Arabidopsis thaliana: one gene and its partner. The protein of the gene in region 1 purifies or fractionates together with the protein of each later gene. This does not show direct contact. Each region holds a gene or a part of one and is shown on either strand. Other genes may lie near its edges.

Region 1 (7,166 bases):
AAGACCATCTACTTCAGGAAAAAAAGGAGCAGAGGACAAAGGAGCAGACTGTCCACGTAAATGCCCATTTGTCAAACCATCAACTCCAGCAATGTTGCCATGGCCATCCCCAGAATCTGCTTCTTCGTCTAGGAAAGACGGCAAGAGGTCGTTTACCAGGTTCCCAAATAATGCATCAAATGAAAAATCACCCTGTCAGTGACAAAAAAAAAAAAATCAATATCCCTTATGATTCAAAAGTGAAAAAACATAAGCAACTGAAAACCTCACCTTAAAGTCTTCAATGTCAAGAATCAGAGGAACAGAGTTAACAGAGGATGATCTGGGTCCTCTTGCTCTGATTCCTTCTGTCATCTGATAAAATGGAAAATTCAAAGAATTGAAGAATCAAGTCTGACAGATCATATATGAAACATTCAATAAATAGCAGAAAGAGATGCGTATGATTCTGGATTCTTCAATGATACTACACTAGCGTAAATCTTCTAAGTTAAGTCATCACCGGTAATCGCTGTTTACTCCGCCGAATGCAACAAAATTTAGAACCTATAGATGACCAATCGCGCACACGGGAAAGGAAAAATGTAATATGGAGCAACTTACCGGCGATGAACGGAGAGATCTAGCCGGAGGAATCCGGTAACTGCAGGGAGAAAAAGACGGAGAAAAGAGAGACGGTCTTCAATGGCGGACTTTTCACAACTATGAGCTCCCTCCTGATGAGCTGTTAATTTTATTTTATACGAGTTTTTTTTTCCTAAACCGGCCGGTTAACGAATTTGATCAACTGTTAATTTGTTAATTTTTTTCTAAGGCAAAAATATTTGTGTTCGTGTTTACAGTTAGCTTTTGTGTTATGGGATGCAATAATATTCCTTATGAAAACTTAATTCCTGAAAAAATAACGGCAAAGTCATATACATAAAGGGGTGGCGTTAACAGAGAGAGTTTCAGATTAACATAGAGCAAAAACAATCAATGAGCCGTTTGAAACATTTTCTGGTCTCTTCAAAGCATTGTAACATCATTACCAACTCTTATAAATTAAGAGTGCTCAAAGCAATGGAAGCAATATCCAACAAGTGATTAATCTGAGTCAAAGATATCTTACGCAGAAACAGAAAAAACAAAATGGCCACCATTGTTTCTCCTCCACATTTCTCCCCTGTCGAAGACGCTGAAAACATCAAGGCGGCTTGTCAAGGTTCTACTTTTCTTTGGATTAGTGTTTCAAAACTTATGTGGTTCATCAAGTTTCTTGCTATCTCCTTTACTCCTCTTCTTTATTTCTATTTGGCGTTTTAGGATGGGGAACCAATGAAAATGCCATCATCTCGATCTTAGGACACCGGAATTTGTTCCAGAGGAAGCTCATAAGACAAGCTTACCAGGAGATTTACCATGAGGATCTCATTCACCAGCTCAAATCTGAGCTCTCTGGCAATTTTGAGGTTTAGATTTTATATATCTCCTCCATGTGCTCTACTCTACTCTATTTCAATAATCCACAAAAGATAAATATATTTGTTACCTGCAGAGAGCTATTTGCTTGTGGGTCTTGGATCCTCCAGAGAGAGATGCTCTCTTGGCTAACTTGGCTCTTCAAAAGCCTATTCCTGACTACAAGGTTCTTGTCGAAATTGCCTGCATGAGATCCCCTGAAGATATGTTAGCTGCTAGACGTGCTTACCGTTGCCTCTACAAGCATTCTCTTGAGGAAGACTTGGCCTCCCGTACTATTGGCGACATCAGGAGAGTAAGTAATTTTAAATTTCCAGATAGTTTCTTCTAGTTTTGACTGATCTTCAACGCTTGGGCGTTTCTTGATATATACAGCTCTTGGTTGCAATGGTGTCTGCTTATAAATATGATGGAGAAGAAATTGATGAGATGCTGGCGCAATCAGAGGCTGCGATTCTTCATGATGAAATCCTTGGTAAGGCTGTTGATCACGAAGAAACGATCAGGGTGTTAAGTACAAGGAGCAGCATGCAGCTTAGCGCAATCTTCAACCGCTACAAGGATATATATGGCACATCGATCACTAAGGTATACAAACAAAAAAATGAACATCAAGTTATGTTATAACTGATCTGTGACAAAGCAATCAATTGGAAATTTCTAGACAACAATACAGCAGTCATACCAGTTTTTCTTCATGACAATGTTCTTTTTGCTGTCCTTAATGAAACATTTGATGACCAGGATCTCCTCAATCACCCTACAAATGAGTACCTGAGTGCACTACGTGCAGCCATCAGGTGCATCAAAAACCCTACCCGGTATTATGCAAAGGTAGGATGCAACAATATTGTTTAGATGTGTTCTCTAAATTATCCCAATAAAACTAACTGGTATTCATATGGTTAATCCCTAATGCACGTAGGTTTTGCGCAATTCAATCAACACGGTGGGGACTGATGAAGATGCTCTGAACCGTGTGATTGTCACACGAGCAGAAAAGGACCTGACGAATATAACTGGGCTGTACTTTAAGAGGAACAATGTGAGTCTCGATCAAGCTATAGCAAAAGAGACATCAGGGGACTACAAGGCCTTTCTTCTAGCTTTGCTAGGACATGGAAAACAACTTTAGAGTTCATCCTCAACTTAACACCTTAAAACAGTTGCATCTCTTCTAATTTTCTAGTATGGAATAAAACTATATTTAACGCTGAAGTAATAATAAAGTTTTCTGTTTGATGCTTCCTCAATCAGTTCTGTTGTTTAGCTTTTCATAGTAAAACAGGAATTACATAATTTTCCTTAATAAAGACATTCTTTGAAGGACACAAAGAAACTAAACAGACTCACTGAAAATAAGGGAAACATGTACATGTATGGGTTCTTTCCTCCTTAGCTGCGTAATATGGCTGCAGCAATACCAGCAACAACCCCTACAGCAGTAACAGCAATTCCAACGCCAATCACACCATCTGATTTCAAAAATCAAAAGAGAGTTAAGAAAAAGCAGCTGAAGATTCTAATGGACGATGTGTGGACAGTTGACACAATAGTACCTTTCACAATACGGTCCTCTATAGCCTTTTTGAGTGCCTGAGCCTGTCCGGACTCCGGTTCAACCTAAAACCACAGAAAGAAAAAGAAGGCATTGTAGAATACATCAACAATAAGATATTCAGGAGTTATCCATGGAACAGATGATCAAACCTCCAAACACCGTTCTATACAATCCCGGCTTCTTGAAAAGTCACCGCTTCGATAGTAACCAAGAGCAAGGAGATATAGCTTCTCCCTAAGTTTCATTGCACTTGTATCATTAACCACCAAAGCTGCGAAAACAAAGCAAAACACTTTGCTAAGATCAAACCAGTCATATGGATCAAAGCATCCACCTTTTGGAAGAACAATAGGCAGCTGAAGATTCCATAGAAAGTGTGAACATAAGCTATTACCTTCAAGCATTGCAATCCCACGCTGAATATCCGAAGGCATCTTTGAATGAACAAGAGCCCATGAAAGACGCATAATGCATTCCTTCTTACGTCCTTCGTCTTGAGCCTCTGCAAGTTCTTTCTCACATCCCTGAGAACGATGTCAATTCCTTACAAAATTATGTATGCATGCCAAAATTCAGGCCAAACACAAAAAAATTCTTTACAAGGACAAGCAACGCAAGAGAATCCAAAATCCGATGAAGGAGATATTAAAACAATTGGAAATTTGTGATTCGAGGTTCCTGTGCGTGTCAAGTTGAGGAACATAAAAGGTGGTGAATCATAAAACTTACGGAGATGATGTCGGAATCGCACAAGGGAAACTCATCGGCGGAAGCAGAAGCAGCGCCGGAGAAGAAGTCTGAGACGGAATCGAAAACCTTCCCTATCGCCGCGTCCATTTTTCCTGTCGCAGCTTCAAGATATTTCAGAGTATTCTTCTCGTTGGCTTTGACGATGATCCTCCCCTTGTGCTCAGCTATTTTTCTTTGACGAAGACCAGTCCAGAAATTTGACGGCAATAAAATTTTTGCGTAAATTTAGAGATTTTTTAAATTAATTTAGAATTTTAGGTGGATATTGTTATTAATTTATTATCATATTAATGTTTTCTTTATAAAGATAATATTGGTTTAACAAAAAAAAAAAAAAAATTGACAGAGTGAATTGCAAAACAAACATTTGATAAAATAATTAACAAACTAACACTATAATTTTAAAAATGTAGTAACTAACTATAAAGGGTAATTATTGACCAAATTGGTTTTGGTGGAGGTGATAGTGACTGGACGCGGTGGTGGCCGGAGGTGGTGGTGGTCAGAGATGGTGGTGGCCGGAAGTGGTTGTGATTGAGAATGATGGTGGCCGAGGGTAGTGGCCGGAATTTGTGGTGGCCGGAGGTGGTTATGGCTGGAAGTGGTGGTAGCCGAAGGTTGTGGTGGTCGGAAATAGTGGCCGGAGGTGATGGTGGCCGGACGTGGTGGTGAACGGTGGTGGTGACTGGACGTTGTCGTGGACGAAGGTGGTGGCCGGAGGTGGTGGTGGCCAAAAGTGGTAATAGTGATGGTTTTTAAAAGGATAAAAATGTATTGATATATATTATACTCACAATATCATATAATTTTTTTTTTTGGTTAGTTATCTAATTTATAAATTTTTGTATGTTATATTAATTTCTCTTTCTCAAACCTTTTTTTTACTAGGAATTGTATTGATAATCAAAATATAAATCCAAACTCTATTTCATATTAATGATATTTACCTTTTAGCAAAAACAAAAACATCAAATCTTCATGAGTTTTTATACTAATTTGTCCATCATGCATTCATTCCGTCATGCTTTATCTCCACTAGGAATTTTTAGTTAGGAGAAATTGCAGATTGGTTAGAGAATGACATTCGAGAGTAAGATTGGTGGATATATATACTTTCGAAACTAACAAAGAGAGTATTTATCGAATATTGACAAACATGAACAAACTAGCACAAATGTACCTCTAAAAAGAGAATAAGATGAAAAAACAAAATTAGGACAACATTTCCATGTGTCAAATCTTTATTGTAGTTGTATACAAATGTGTTTCTTAGAATAATATTTTGAAATTATACAACACATATATTAACATAAAATATCCATTAATTATAACATAAATTATATCAACAAATTTAACATTTTAGTTAATAATATTTACCAATTTTTATTTATTTTACTTATATATTTATATAAATTAAATTATTTGAATACTTGGAAAATAATAAACTGTACATCAAGAAATCAATCACACATGTAATGACATAGTTGTAACTTGTTAGTTAGAGTACCAATTCATATAAATAAGGTAAAAAAACAGGCAAACATATCACAATATACATATCACACATCCTTTGACCATAAATAAGAAAAAAAGGTGAAAAAAAAAGAGTAGTGTGGGAGGGGGGAGAGAGAGAGAGAGAGATGGCCTTCTCTTCCTAACATTGACCAACCCGTCTTTGTTTCTTCTCATCATCACTGAGAGAATTCGTTAAGACGTTTCGTTTCTCTGTAGAAGAAGAATTCTCTTTCTACTTTTTTTTCTTTGCTTCCGAGAATTAAGAAGAGAGAGAATCTCTGTCCTTGTCTCTCTCTCCTTGCACGTTGCAAGCGTTTCTAGAATAAAGTGAAAACCCAGCGCTTCTCCTTTTTTTTTTGCAATCCAGAGAGACTTTGGCTATGGGTTTTCTTTGATTCGCTTGTATCGTGAAGCGAGAGCAAGCTTTTGTAGCAATGGAGCTGGTTGGTAAAGTCGTTAGGAAGGAGATCCAAGGGATTGGGTTTTGCTCCGGGACGGTTCGATCTCGCGATTCGTCTGGATTTTTCGAGATCGTTTATGAGAACGGTGTTACGGAGATTTCGGAATTGGATGAGGTTGTTGCTCTCGTGATGGGAGATGGTAAATCTCAGGAGAATTCGGTTCCAGTGAAGAAGAAGAGAGTTGGTAGGAAGCCGAAGAAACGGTCTCGTGTTGCGAGGGTGGTTGAGATCAAGCGAGAGAGCTCTGGGTTGAATGAGGTAAATGTCGATTTAAATGATGGAGTTGCGGAGAATTCGGGAGTTAGTGAGGAGAATTTGAGAGGGAATGTTGATTTGAATTGTGGTCCTGTGGAAACCCTAGGTAGGACATGGGACTCCTCTGTCACGGATTTGAATAGGACGGTGTCGGAATCGGAAACTGGATTTGATTTGACTACTGGGTTGGATTGGAATTCGAATGAAAATCTAGGTTTGGTTAATGTAAATATCGATTATGAAGAAAATTGTAGTGACAAACGGAAGTGGGATATTGATCTGAACATGGATGCGAGCTGTGATTTGGACAATGCTGCTATCTGTGATTTCAGTGGGCAGAAGAGGGAGGTAGGATTTGATTTGAACGTGGAGGTTGATGTAGAGAACAGCAAGGATGAGGAGTACAGTCAAATGAATGGAAATGACATTGTTCAAGAAATCAACATGCAGGACGGAAATGGTGCCCAGGATAATATTGAGACTGGGGAATATAAAGAAGTTCATGTTGCTGAAGTGTCCAGCGCTGAGCTTTTGGAGGAGATACAGAAGCAGAACATTGTTTCACCGCAAGATCTCAAGAATCTTAATTCTAATGGGGTTGAGAAGGATCCTGATCTACCTCATCATGATGCTAAGACTGTTGATGAGACTCTCTCTGATAGGGGAAATTCAGGTGAATATACAAGTGGTAGGAGGAAAAGAAGAAAAGCTTCTGACAATCCAAAATTCATGAGTGAACCTCAGTTGAGAAGAAGCGCTCGTAGAAGGTTAGCTCGATCGCCTGTCAGTAGTACTGTAACAGCTTGCTTTGTTGAGGAAGTATCCCCTTCTCCTTCAATTAGTAGTCTGACAGAGGAGAAAACTTGGATTGTTGATGGAAAAGCTGATAATATTTCTGCACTCCCGCCAAAGCCACAATTACCTCCATCCTCCCCTATTTTGGATTTAGACGGTCTTCCTGTACTTGATGTCTTTACTGCTTACTCTTGTCTGAGGTCCTTCAGTACTTTGCTGTTTTTGAGTCCTTTTGAGCTGAAGGATTTTGTGGAAGCATTGAGGTGCATGTCTCCTAGTCTATTATTTGATAGCATCCATGTTTCTGTCTTGCAAATATTAAGAAAACATTTGAAACAACTCGCTGCTGAAGGTGACCTATCTGCGTC
Region 2 (9,174 bases), on another chromosome or scaffold:
TGTTATATACATGTCATTATGTTCTTGACTATGGACTTGGAATTTTCTCGTCTGGGTTTTCTTGAATGCGTGTGTCTTTGTTTTTTCCAGCCATGTAAAGGCATATTGCTTTTTGGTCCTCCGGGTACGGGTAAAACGCTGCTTGCCAAGGCGCTTGCAACAGAAGCTGGGGCAAACTTCATTAGCATAACTGGCTCAACGCTTACCTCAAAGGTACATGGAACCTTAAAACTATGTTGTTTGCACTGTCACGTTGATATTCCACTTTGTAAACATCTTCATATAAATAAGGAGAATATCTAATGACATAAGAAAAACTTTTCCACCCCGGTCATCGACTTATTATTGTCAATGCCGATTGTAACTTAGAGTAAATCTCTTTCCAACTTTACCTCTGATTGGTTCTGATTTAAGTCAATTTCGTCCATTGTTTGGCACAGTGGTTTGGAGATGCAGAGAAGCTCACGAAGGCTTTGTTCTCTTTTGCAAGCAAACTAGCCCCCGTCATTATATTTGTTGATGAGGTGAGAAATTGTTTAGCTTTATATCACTTTTCAATTTCGGTTATTGCTTTTTATGAGGAATACTTTTGTGATGCGTAAAATGTGTTACTCAAGGACTAACTGTAATTTATTTTGTTGTCGTATAGGTTGACAGTTTGTTGGGTGCTCGTGGTGGTGCTTTTGAGCACGAGGCAACACGAAGAATGAGAAATGAGTTTATGGCAGCTTGGGATGGACTCAGATCAAAAGATAGCCAAAGGATTCTCATTCTCGGTGCCACCAACCGACCTTTTGATCTTGATGACGCTGTCATTCGTAGGCTACCAAGACGGTAATTTAAGCTTTCAAGTAATTTCTCCTTTGGAATATTTGTATCTTTTCGATAATTGTATTGAGGCTTGTGTTTATAGGATATATGTGGATTTACCAGATGCGGAAAACCGGTTGAAGATATTGAAGATATTTCTGACACCAGAAAATCTTGAAACTGGTTTCGAGTTTGATAAACTTGCAAAGGAAACCGAAGGATATTCAGGAAGCGATCTAAAGGTTTGGTCATTCGGGGTTTCATTTACAAGTTCGAGTATGATTCAACACAGTAGTTCTGATTCCTTTTCTTTTCTTACATTGCAGAATCTATGCATAGCAGCTGCATACAGACCTGTTCAAGAATTGTTACAAGAAGAAAACAAGGTAAGGACATGCATAAACCCACACAGTTGATTTCTGTTGTTACGAAAAATAATTTTTGTACTCACTCCATGCTTTTGAAACGTCGAATTATCAGGACTCGGTAACAAATGCGTCCCCTGATCTACGACCACTGAGTTTGGACGACTTCATTCAATCCAAAGCTAAGGTATTGATCAATCTCTTAAAAAACATCATCATCATCTCTATTCATGTTTTTTCCCCTGGTGTTTGCATTATCGAAATTGCGTCATTGTAATGTAATTTGCAGGTAAGTCCGTCAGTGGCATACGACGCGACGACAATGAACGAATTGAGAAAATGGAACGAGCAATACGGTGAAGGAGGGACCCGAACTAAGTCTCCTTTCGGCTTCTAAGCCACAGTTTTGTTACATTCATCAATGTCTCTCTTTAACAATAGAACTCGTTGATTTGTTCCATGTCGTAACAATAAAAGTCACTATTTCAATTTTAATCATAGTTACACAAGAGAGACCTTTAAGAAATGAAAAAATAGTAAATTAACAAGTCGTCATTTGCTCAAAATATTTCTGGTTTCTCATCCAATAATCACAATTCTGTACTACATAGTTATCACAAATCCTTTGAGATAATATTTCTGCATATACTATTGGTCAAGACAAAGCAAATCCTTTGTATTTGCCGACCAAAAAAAAAAAATCCTTAAACTCTCTCCTTACGCGCTCTTTTATTTAAATTTAGCGGAGAACTATTACAACGTTGACTCAACGCGCCATGGATGCGCGTGAGATTAAAACACAAAAAATATTTCTTTTGACAAAAATTGAAATTAGCCGTATCTGCTAATTCCATGGCGGAAAAAGGAACGGCGACGAAAACTAAAGAGTAGAAGAAATAAGAGACACTCTCTTACTCTTACTCTTCCTCTTGCTCATTTTCGTAAGAGACGATGGCGGAAGTATCAGCAAAATCGGTGACGGTTGAGGAAATGGCGGAAGAGGACGACGCTGCGATTGAGGAGCGGTGGAGTCTTTACGAAGCTTACAACGAGTTACACGCTTTGGCGCAGGAATTGGAGACGCCGTTCGAAGCACCGGCGGTTCTTGTGGTGGGACAGCAGACCGACGGTAAAAGTGCGCTTGTGGAAGCTCTTATGGGGTTTCAATTTAACCATGTCGGCGGCGGAACCAAGACTCGTCGGCCGATTACTCTCCATATGAAGTACGATCCTCAGTGTCAATTCCCGCTTTGTCATCTCGGATCTGATGATGATCCTTCCGTTTCTCTTCCCAAATCTCTCTCACAAATTCAGGTGTTTTGTTATTATTATTACTTGTGCTTCTTCAATTGCTTGTTTCTGCGTATAAATTCTGGGAAGATTTTGACGAATGTTGAGAAACACAAGTACTTAGGTTTATTGTAGAGAAGCGAAATGCTCATGTTAACGAAATTTGTTATATGATTTGGAGTTAGGCATATATTGAGGCTGAGAACATGAGGCTGGAGCAAGAGCCATGTAGCCCATTCTCTGCAAAGGAGATTATTGTGAAAGTCCAGTATAAGTATTGTCCAAACCTTACCATCATTGATACACCTGGACTTATTGCTCCTGCACCAGGACTGAAAAACCGAGCTCTTCAGGTTGTTTTTTCTTATGGCTTCCAGCCAATTCCGTGGCTGATTTCATGTTTTGGTTTTGCTTTATTTGAGAGTGGGTTACTTGTTCTTTTTCTTAGGTTCAAGCACGGGCTGTGGAAGCTCTAGTCCGAGCAAAGATGCAACACAAAGAGTTCATCATTTTATGCCTCGAAGATAGCAGTGACTGGAGCATTGCAACCACTCGAAGGATAGTGATGCAAGTACGTTGCTTGACGTAACTCCATTGCGTCTAACCTTGTCTTTATTTTTGTTAAAGTTTGTTTCTCGTTCATGTAGGTTGATCCTGAGCTTTCTAGGACAATTGTTGTTTCTACAAAGCTTGACACTAAAATCCCTCAATTCTCATGTTCATCTGACGTGGAAGTCTTTCTCTCACCTCCTGCAAGCGCACTTGACAGCTCCTTATTGGGCGATTCTCCTTTTTTCACGTCTGTGCCTTCTGGAAGAGTTGGCTATGGACAGGATTCAGTGTATAAGTCTAATGACGAGTTCAAACAGGTCTCTGCTCTGCTGTCTGATTCCTTAAACAAGTTAAACAGGTCTTTTTCTAAACTATGTGTGGTTTTTATTACAGGCTGTGTCACTTAGAGAAATGGAAGACATTGCATCTTTAGAGAAGAAGTTGGGCCGTTTACTGACAAAACAGGAAAAGAGTAGGATTGGCATCAGTAAACTGAGGTTGTTTCTGGAAGAACTACTCTGGAAAAGGTATAACTGTTGTTTTAACTCTGATTTTTCCAGCCTCTGTTTCTATTGTAGTTTACTTTTCGCTGTAGTCTTGATGCCCTTCTCTTTCCAGGTACAAAGAGAGTGTTCCATTGATCATTCCACTGTTAGGAAAGGAGTACCGCAGTACAGTCAGAAAGCTGGATACCGTGAGCAAGGAACTTAGGTCGCAATTTGTTTTGTCTGAAAATGTCTACTTGATTTTAGGCAGTTTAATTGTTAGCTACTGATTTATAGAAAATATAACTCATTGGAGGTTGAATAATTCCTTTCAATGCAGCTCTTTGGATGAAGCAAAACTCAAAGAGAGAGGCAGGACTTTCCATGATCTCTTCTTAACCAAGGTAACTGTAGAGAGCATTTCGTTTTTTTAGATTTCTATTTACACCTTCCCATACCTTTTCATTTTTGCCTGGACTCGTGGATTAATAGTTTTTGTATAATTACAACAAGTTCATTTGTGTAAACTTCTCTTTTTTTTTGGTTTATTAACTACTGACACATAAAAACAAATTTGTTTATTGATTACTGACACATATAAAATTATGCTACAGTAAATGATATCTAGGACTTGCTACAAATTCAGAATGGCTGTAAACTTTTTGTGTTGGATGCCCTTAAGACTTTAAAATTGCTGCGTCATATTTTCTGATTGACGTACGAAGTACCTTTGTTAGTATTGATCAGTGCTGTGTTTTCTCACCTGTTTTGTTTATATTTTTCTTGATCAGTTATCGCTGTTATTGAAGGGAACAGTTGTGGCCCCTCCAGATAAATTTGGTAATGTTACTGCTCTGTTCTCTGCTAGTCAACTTCTTTGGCATAAACTTTTCTTGTTTCTGGGTGTTGTTAAATTGGACTTTTGCAAAATCAGTTTAGTTAAATGCATATTGTTCAATTCGACTGGGTCACCAGACTGCGATGATTACACATGGAATGATGTATGCTAATCAATCAATCATTGGTCATGATACTTTGGTTACTGGCAGAAGCACATTTTATAACAGCATTCTCTTTATGTTGGGTTCTTTGATTGTTAATAATTTCTCATGGTGTTTTTCAGGTGAGACACTGCAAGATGAAAGGACACAAGGAGGAGCATTTGTTGGTACTGATGGTCTCCAGTTTTCACATAAGCTAATACCGGTAAGTCTTTCCCTGAAGCAGAATATTGTTGGACTTTATAGAGCAAGCTGGGCATGGTCTTCAAATCCAGTTGTCTTGTTCTTGTACATGGATTATAATATGATGGAAGATAAATTTGACCGCATGAAACATATGTGCCAAAGAATAATGTATTGGAAACAAATAAAAGAGATACTTCGTTGGACCTTCAAGAATTATGAGAGACCATAACCAGATTATCTTTCATTTTACAGAATGCAGGGATGCGTCTCTATGGGGGTGCACAATATCACCGTGCCATGGCTGAGTTTCGTTTTCTAGTTGGTGCTATCAAATGTCCCCCAATAACGAGGGAGGAAATTGTAAATGCATGTGGAGTTGAGGATATTCATGATGGAACAAACTATTCCAGGTATCATAGGATTGACTGACATGCAACACACTTCTCAATTTATTGTCTTTGCATCCCAGACCCCTTTCAGTATCTAATCTGAGCTGCAACGTTTGTCATGTTTTCTATGGCCTCTTATTCTCTTTCTCTTATTTGCTGTTGTAGAACAGCTTGTGTTATAGCAGTTGCGAAGGCTCGTGAGACGTTTGAACCTTTCCTTCATCAGGTGACATAGATATAGCTACTTTTTTCTTTTTCTTTCGTGGAGGATGGAAAGCAATTTTACTAATTAGTTAAGGTGTACTGTACGTAAAAAAAAAAATGAAATATAACGTTATATATTGAAATCATACTACCATTCAGTTTTGAGATTTGCTGGAACTTATTTGTGCATAAGAGTTATCGAGTAAACATGTTCTGCTTACAGAAACTATGTTTGGGAATACTTTCATCTGAAATTTTGTTATTCACATGTTTCTCTTTCCATACAGAAAGTTTTTTCCAGTTCTCATTTTCGTTTGTTTTGCGTTGATATAGTTAGGGGCGAGGCTTCTACACATTCTCAAGAGATTGCTTCCAATTTCTGTATATCTTCTTCAGGTAGGTACTGTTTTCTTTGGTTTGACGGTATCATACTCATGATCCCTTTCCAGCAAATTTTTTGATGTATGTTCTAAATTTGAATAGAAAGAAGGTGAATATTTAAGTGGGCATGAGGTGTTTCTCAAGCGGGTTGCTTCAGCATTCAACAGTTTTGTGGAGTCCACAGAAAAATCATGTCGTGACAAGTAATTCTATTTCCAATTCCTGTTCTTACCATGTCGGTGCCTCCTACCTGTGTTCTAGTGAGCTTTAGTGATTGATCACCCTTTGGATTTTATATTGTTTGCAGATGTATGGAGGATTTAGCAAGTACAACTCGCTATGTTACATGGTCTCTTCACAACAAGGTCATTGCTACAGCCCTATAGCTCTGTTTCAATCCAATTGAGTTGTGTACATACCATCAAGTATCCGTTTCTGATTGAGTAGTTTTCGTTTCTCAATGTTATGTAGAACCGAGCTGGTCTACGTCAATTCTTGGACTCATTTGGTGGAACAGAGCATAATACGACATCAGGTAATGCCATAGGATTTAGTCTTCCCCAAGATGCATTAGGTGGCACAACAGACACCAAGTCAAGATCAGATGTAAAGCTAAGCCATCTCGCCTCAAACATCGATTCAGGTTCCAGTATTCAGACAACAGAAATGCGGTTGGCTGATCTTCTAGATAGCACACTTTGGAACCGCAAGCTTGCTCCTTCCTCTGAGAGAATTGTGTACGCATTGGTCCAACAGATATTCCAGGGCATACGAGAGTACTTTCTCGCCTCTGCTGAGTTAAAGGTTTGCTCCTACTTCAGTTTTTACTCAGATTCTTCTTGCTTTTAAAATGACTTTTCTTTTAAAAAGTTTGTATCTGTGTTTTCTTTTGTTCTGCAGTTCAACTGTTTTCTTCTAATGCCCATCGTTGATAAGTTACCTGCTCTTCTCCGGGAAGAGTTGGAAAACGCATTTGAAGACGACCTCGATAGTATCTTCGACATCACGAATCTCCGGCAATCACTTGATCAAAAGAAACGGAGCACAGAGATCGAGCTCAGAAGGGTAAACCAAACTGACTTCTATGATCAATGTCTCTTTTTTCTATTTGCCATTGGAAGTATGCAGGAGAACTAACATTATGTTATGTGTCATGTTTTGGACAGATAAAGAGGATAAAAGAGAAATTCAGAGTGATGAATGAGAAGCTAAACTCTCATGAATTTGCTCAAAATCTAAAGGCTCCTTCGGTGCAGCATTGAGTGACTCAAGTTCAATATTGCTTAATTATATTAGGTTAAGAAACAATCGAAGAGTGAGGGAACATCTTATGTGTACTTTGTATGTCCAAAAACATACTAAAGAACGTTGTCGTTTCAAGTGATTAAGGTTTCGCTTTTTGGTCCAATGTTTGCAAATTTCAGTTTTGTAGAAACGACAGTCGTATCATTTATTTCTAAATAAATTATAATCAGTAAATCTAAAAGGAAAAAAAAATGTCGAATAAAAAATACCATCTAGAAAATTATTTTAAAAACTATATGGATGTGAAAAAGAAAAAAAAAATGTAACATGTGGATAGAGGATAGCTATTCTTGGAACTTAGAAATATGCTATTTGAATCGAAAGTATTTATTTAGTTAAATGGTTCTTTGATTATATTTCTATGTTCTTTTATTAGATTATTTACAGCTTGAAGTTTTTTTTATGTTTTTAATTTTTATCCATCACTAATACACATATGACCTACCCTCCTACCCATTAACCTCCACCTAACTACGAGCGCATTCACATTTTAAACACTCTCTTTCTTTCAACCATTTCCTCAAAAATATAATAAAGAAGTAAAAAATAAGCTTAACGTTTTCTCCACGTGACAAGAACCAAATGTTTCTCCACGTGATGATTATCTCGTGATCTAACTAGAGTTTCCGATTAATCTTAATAGTAAATTAACCGACCAATTTTTAGTCATATAACTTGAATATTAAGAAGGAAACTACAACTTATTTTTGAATAAACGTAAAACTGATCACTGAGTAAAAAAAAAATCATTTTCTTTTTACTTCTACCAAGTTATTTTTGATTAATAAATACGTACGTACACTATAATCGTAATATAAAAAAAATAAAAATAAATAAATAGATGATATATACCTACTAAAGACTAAAGAGTTAAGATACGTTGAAGTACTACAAGCTAATTTCTTTTTTAAGAAATAGAACAAAGAGATATTATTTATTTTCGTTTAAGTTTATTATTATAATAAAAAACAATTTGTTGTAAAAATAGAAAAAAAAAAAAAAAAAAAATTGTTGTAAACGTATATATAAAGAGAAGTATTCCAAAGCTTTATAGACAACTCAAGTTTCTTGCAATTACCTACTTACAACAAAGCAACTCGACTCGAACAAACACATCCATGGCTCCTTCTGCGCAACCTCTTCCTGTGAGGTAAAATATTTCTGTATCGTCGAACAAATTATATTGTTTAAATCTGATAGTATGAAATATGATTTGGCGATCTTTTTTTTGTTTTTTTTTATTTATCAAAATTTACAGTGTTTCGGATGAAAAATATGCGAATGTCAAGTGGGAAGAGTTGGCATTCAAGTTTGTTCGTACGGATTATATGTATGTTGCGAAGTGCAATCATGGAGAGAGTTTTCAAGAGGGGAAGATTCTTCCTTTTGCTGATTTGCAACTTAACCCTTGCGCTGCTGTTCTTCAGTATGGCCAGGTTTGTTATATATGACTTAAAAGAATGAATATAAATCTAGATCGTTATTAGATGAAACAGAAAAAACTATTAACACATGAATATATAGCTTTCTCACTGATAATAAAATGATTGAGCTAATTATCATAAATATAATTACATAGTATACTATTGAGTTAGCAACTATATTGTATGCATATTTGAGCTATAAACTATTGAAAAAATGAAATAGTTGTACATATATGTATTAATGTATATCAACGAACCGAATAGTATGAAAGTATTGATATTCCTATCAAATCATTGTATGTGATCTAGTTTCGCAACAATTCTTAAGTAATGGTTTGATACTAATTTACTGGAATATTTATGGTGGTTTGGGAATGATTAGGGTTTATATGAAGGACTGAAAGCTTACAGGACAGAAGATGGTCGGATTCTGCTATTCCGACCAGACCAAAACGGTCTCCGCCTTCAAGCCGGAGCTGACAGACTCTATATGCCTTATCCTTCGGTCGATCAATTCGTCTCCGCCATCAAACAAGTTGCTCTTGCCAACAAGAAATGGGTATATTATATATATTGATTGTTGTATGAATTCGTCAAGATAATAAAACCTTATAAAATGAAAGATATAATCAATGGGGTTTTCTTATATATGTACGCAGATTCCTCCTCCGGGGAAAGGAACATTGTATATTAGGCCTATCTTGTTTGGGAGTGGTCCGATTCTTGGTTCATTTCCCATTCCTGAGACCACCTTCACAGCTTTTGCCTGTCCTGTTGGACGT

The links.
Region 2: the proteins of FIS1B (region 1) and ARC5 purify together in Arabidopsis thaliana (affinity purification with western blotting, with the first as the bait; one study listed by BioGRID). This does not show direct contact.

What each region holds. Positions count from the first base shown.
Region 1 is NC_003076.8:4,008,092-4,015,257, forward strand, and holds FIS1B (Tetratricopeptide repeat (TPR)-like superfamily protein), read right to left. Parts: upstream 4,044-7,166; 5' UTR 3,860-4,043; coding exon 3,752-3,859; intron 3,751-3,751; exon of another isoform or gene 3,547-3,750; coding exon 3,417-3,546; intron 3,294-3,416; coding exon 3,172-3,293; intron 3,085-3,171; coding exon 3,021-3,084; intron 2,937-3,020; coding exon 2,857-2,936; 3' UTR 2,597-2,856; coding exon of another isoform or gene 2,387-2,596; 3' UTR 2,352-2,386; downstream 1-2,351. Other genes in the region: exocyst complex component sec10, read right to left, coding at 1-192, 271-354; ANNAT8 (annexin 8), read left to right, coding at 1,132-1,204, 1,306-1,451, 1,538-1,756, 1,837-2,049, 2,206-2,295, 2,387-2,596; AT5G12400 (PHD-finger and DNA binding domain-containing protein), read left to right, coding at 5,722-7,166. UniProt on the Arabidopsis thaliana protein: Component of the peroxisomal and mitochondrial division machineries. Plays a role in promoting the fission of mitochondria and peroxisomes.
Region 2 is NC_003074.8:6,848,342-6,857,515, reverse strand, and holds ARC5 (P-loop containing nucleoside triphosphate hydrolases superfamily protein), read left to right. Parts: upstream 1-1,925; 5' UTR 1,926-2,126; coding exon 2,127-2,489; intron 2,490-2,650; coding exon 2,651-2,818; intron 2,819-2,913; coding exon 2,914-3,036; intron 3,037-3,112; coding exon 3,113-3,334; intron 3,335-3,410; coding exon 3,411-3,544; intron 3,545-3,635; coding exon 3,636-3,728; coding exon of another isoform or gene 3,729-3,743; intron 3,744-3,842; coding exon 3,843-3,906; intron 3,907-4,293; coding exon 4,294-4,342; coding exon of another isoform or gene 4,343-4,435; intron 4,436-4,625; coding exon 4,626-4,708; intron 4,709-4,941; coding exon 4,942-5,099; intron 5,100-5,243; coding exon 5,244-5,304; intron 5,305-5,615; coding exon 5,616-5,678; intron 5,679-5,765; coding exon 5,766-5,866; intron 5,867-5,970; coding exon 5,971-6,028; intron 6,029-6,134; coding exon 6,135-6,467; intron 6,468-6,563; coding exon 6,564-6,728; intron 6,729-6,829; coding exon 6,830-6,925; 3' UTR 6,926-7,158; downstream 7,159-9,174. Other genes in the region: AT3G19740 (P-loop containing nucleoside triphosphate hydrolases superfamily protein), read left to right, coding at 91-213, 441-524, 650-834, 914-1,052, 1,137-1,196, 1,291-1,362, 1,465-1,572; BCAT4 (branched-chain aminotransferase4), read left to right, coding at 8,087-8,118, 8,227-8,404, 8,775-8,951, 9,052-9,174. UniProt on the Arabidopsis thaliana protein: Mechanochemical GTPase component of both plastid and peroxisome division machinery. Required for the last steps of plastid division specifically in mesophyll-cell, when the narrow isthmus breaks, facilitating the separation of the daughter plastids.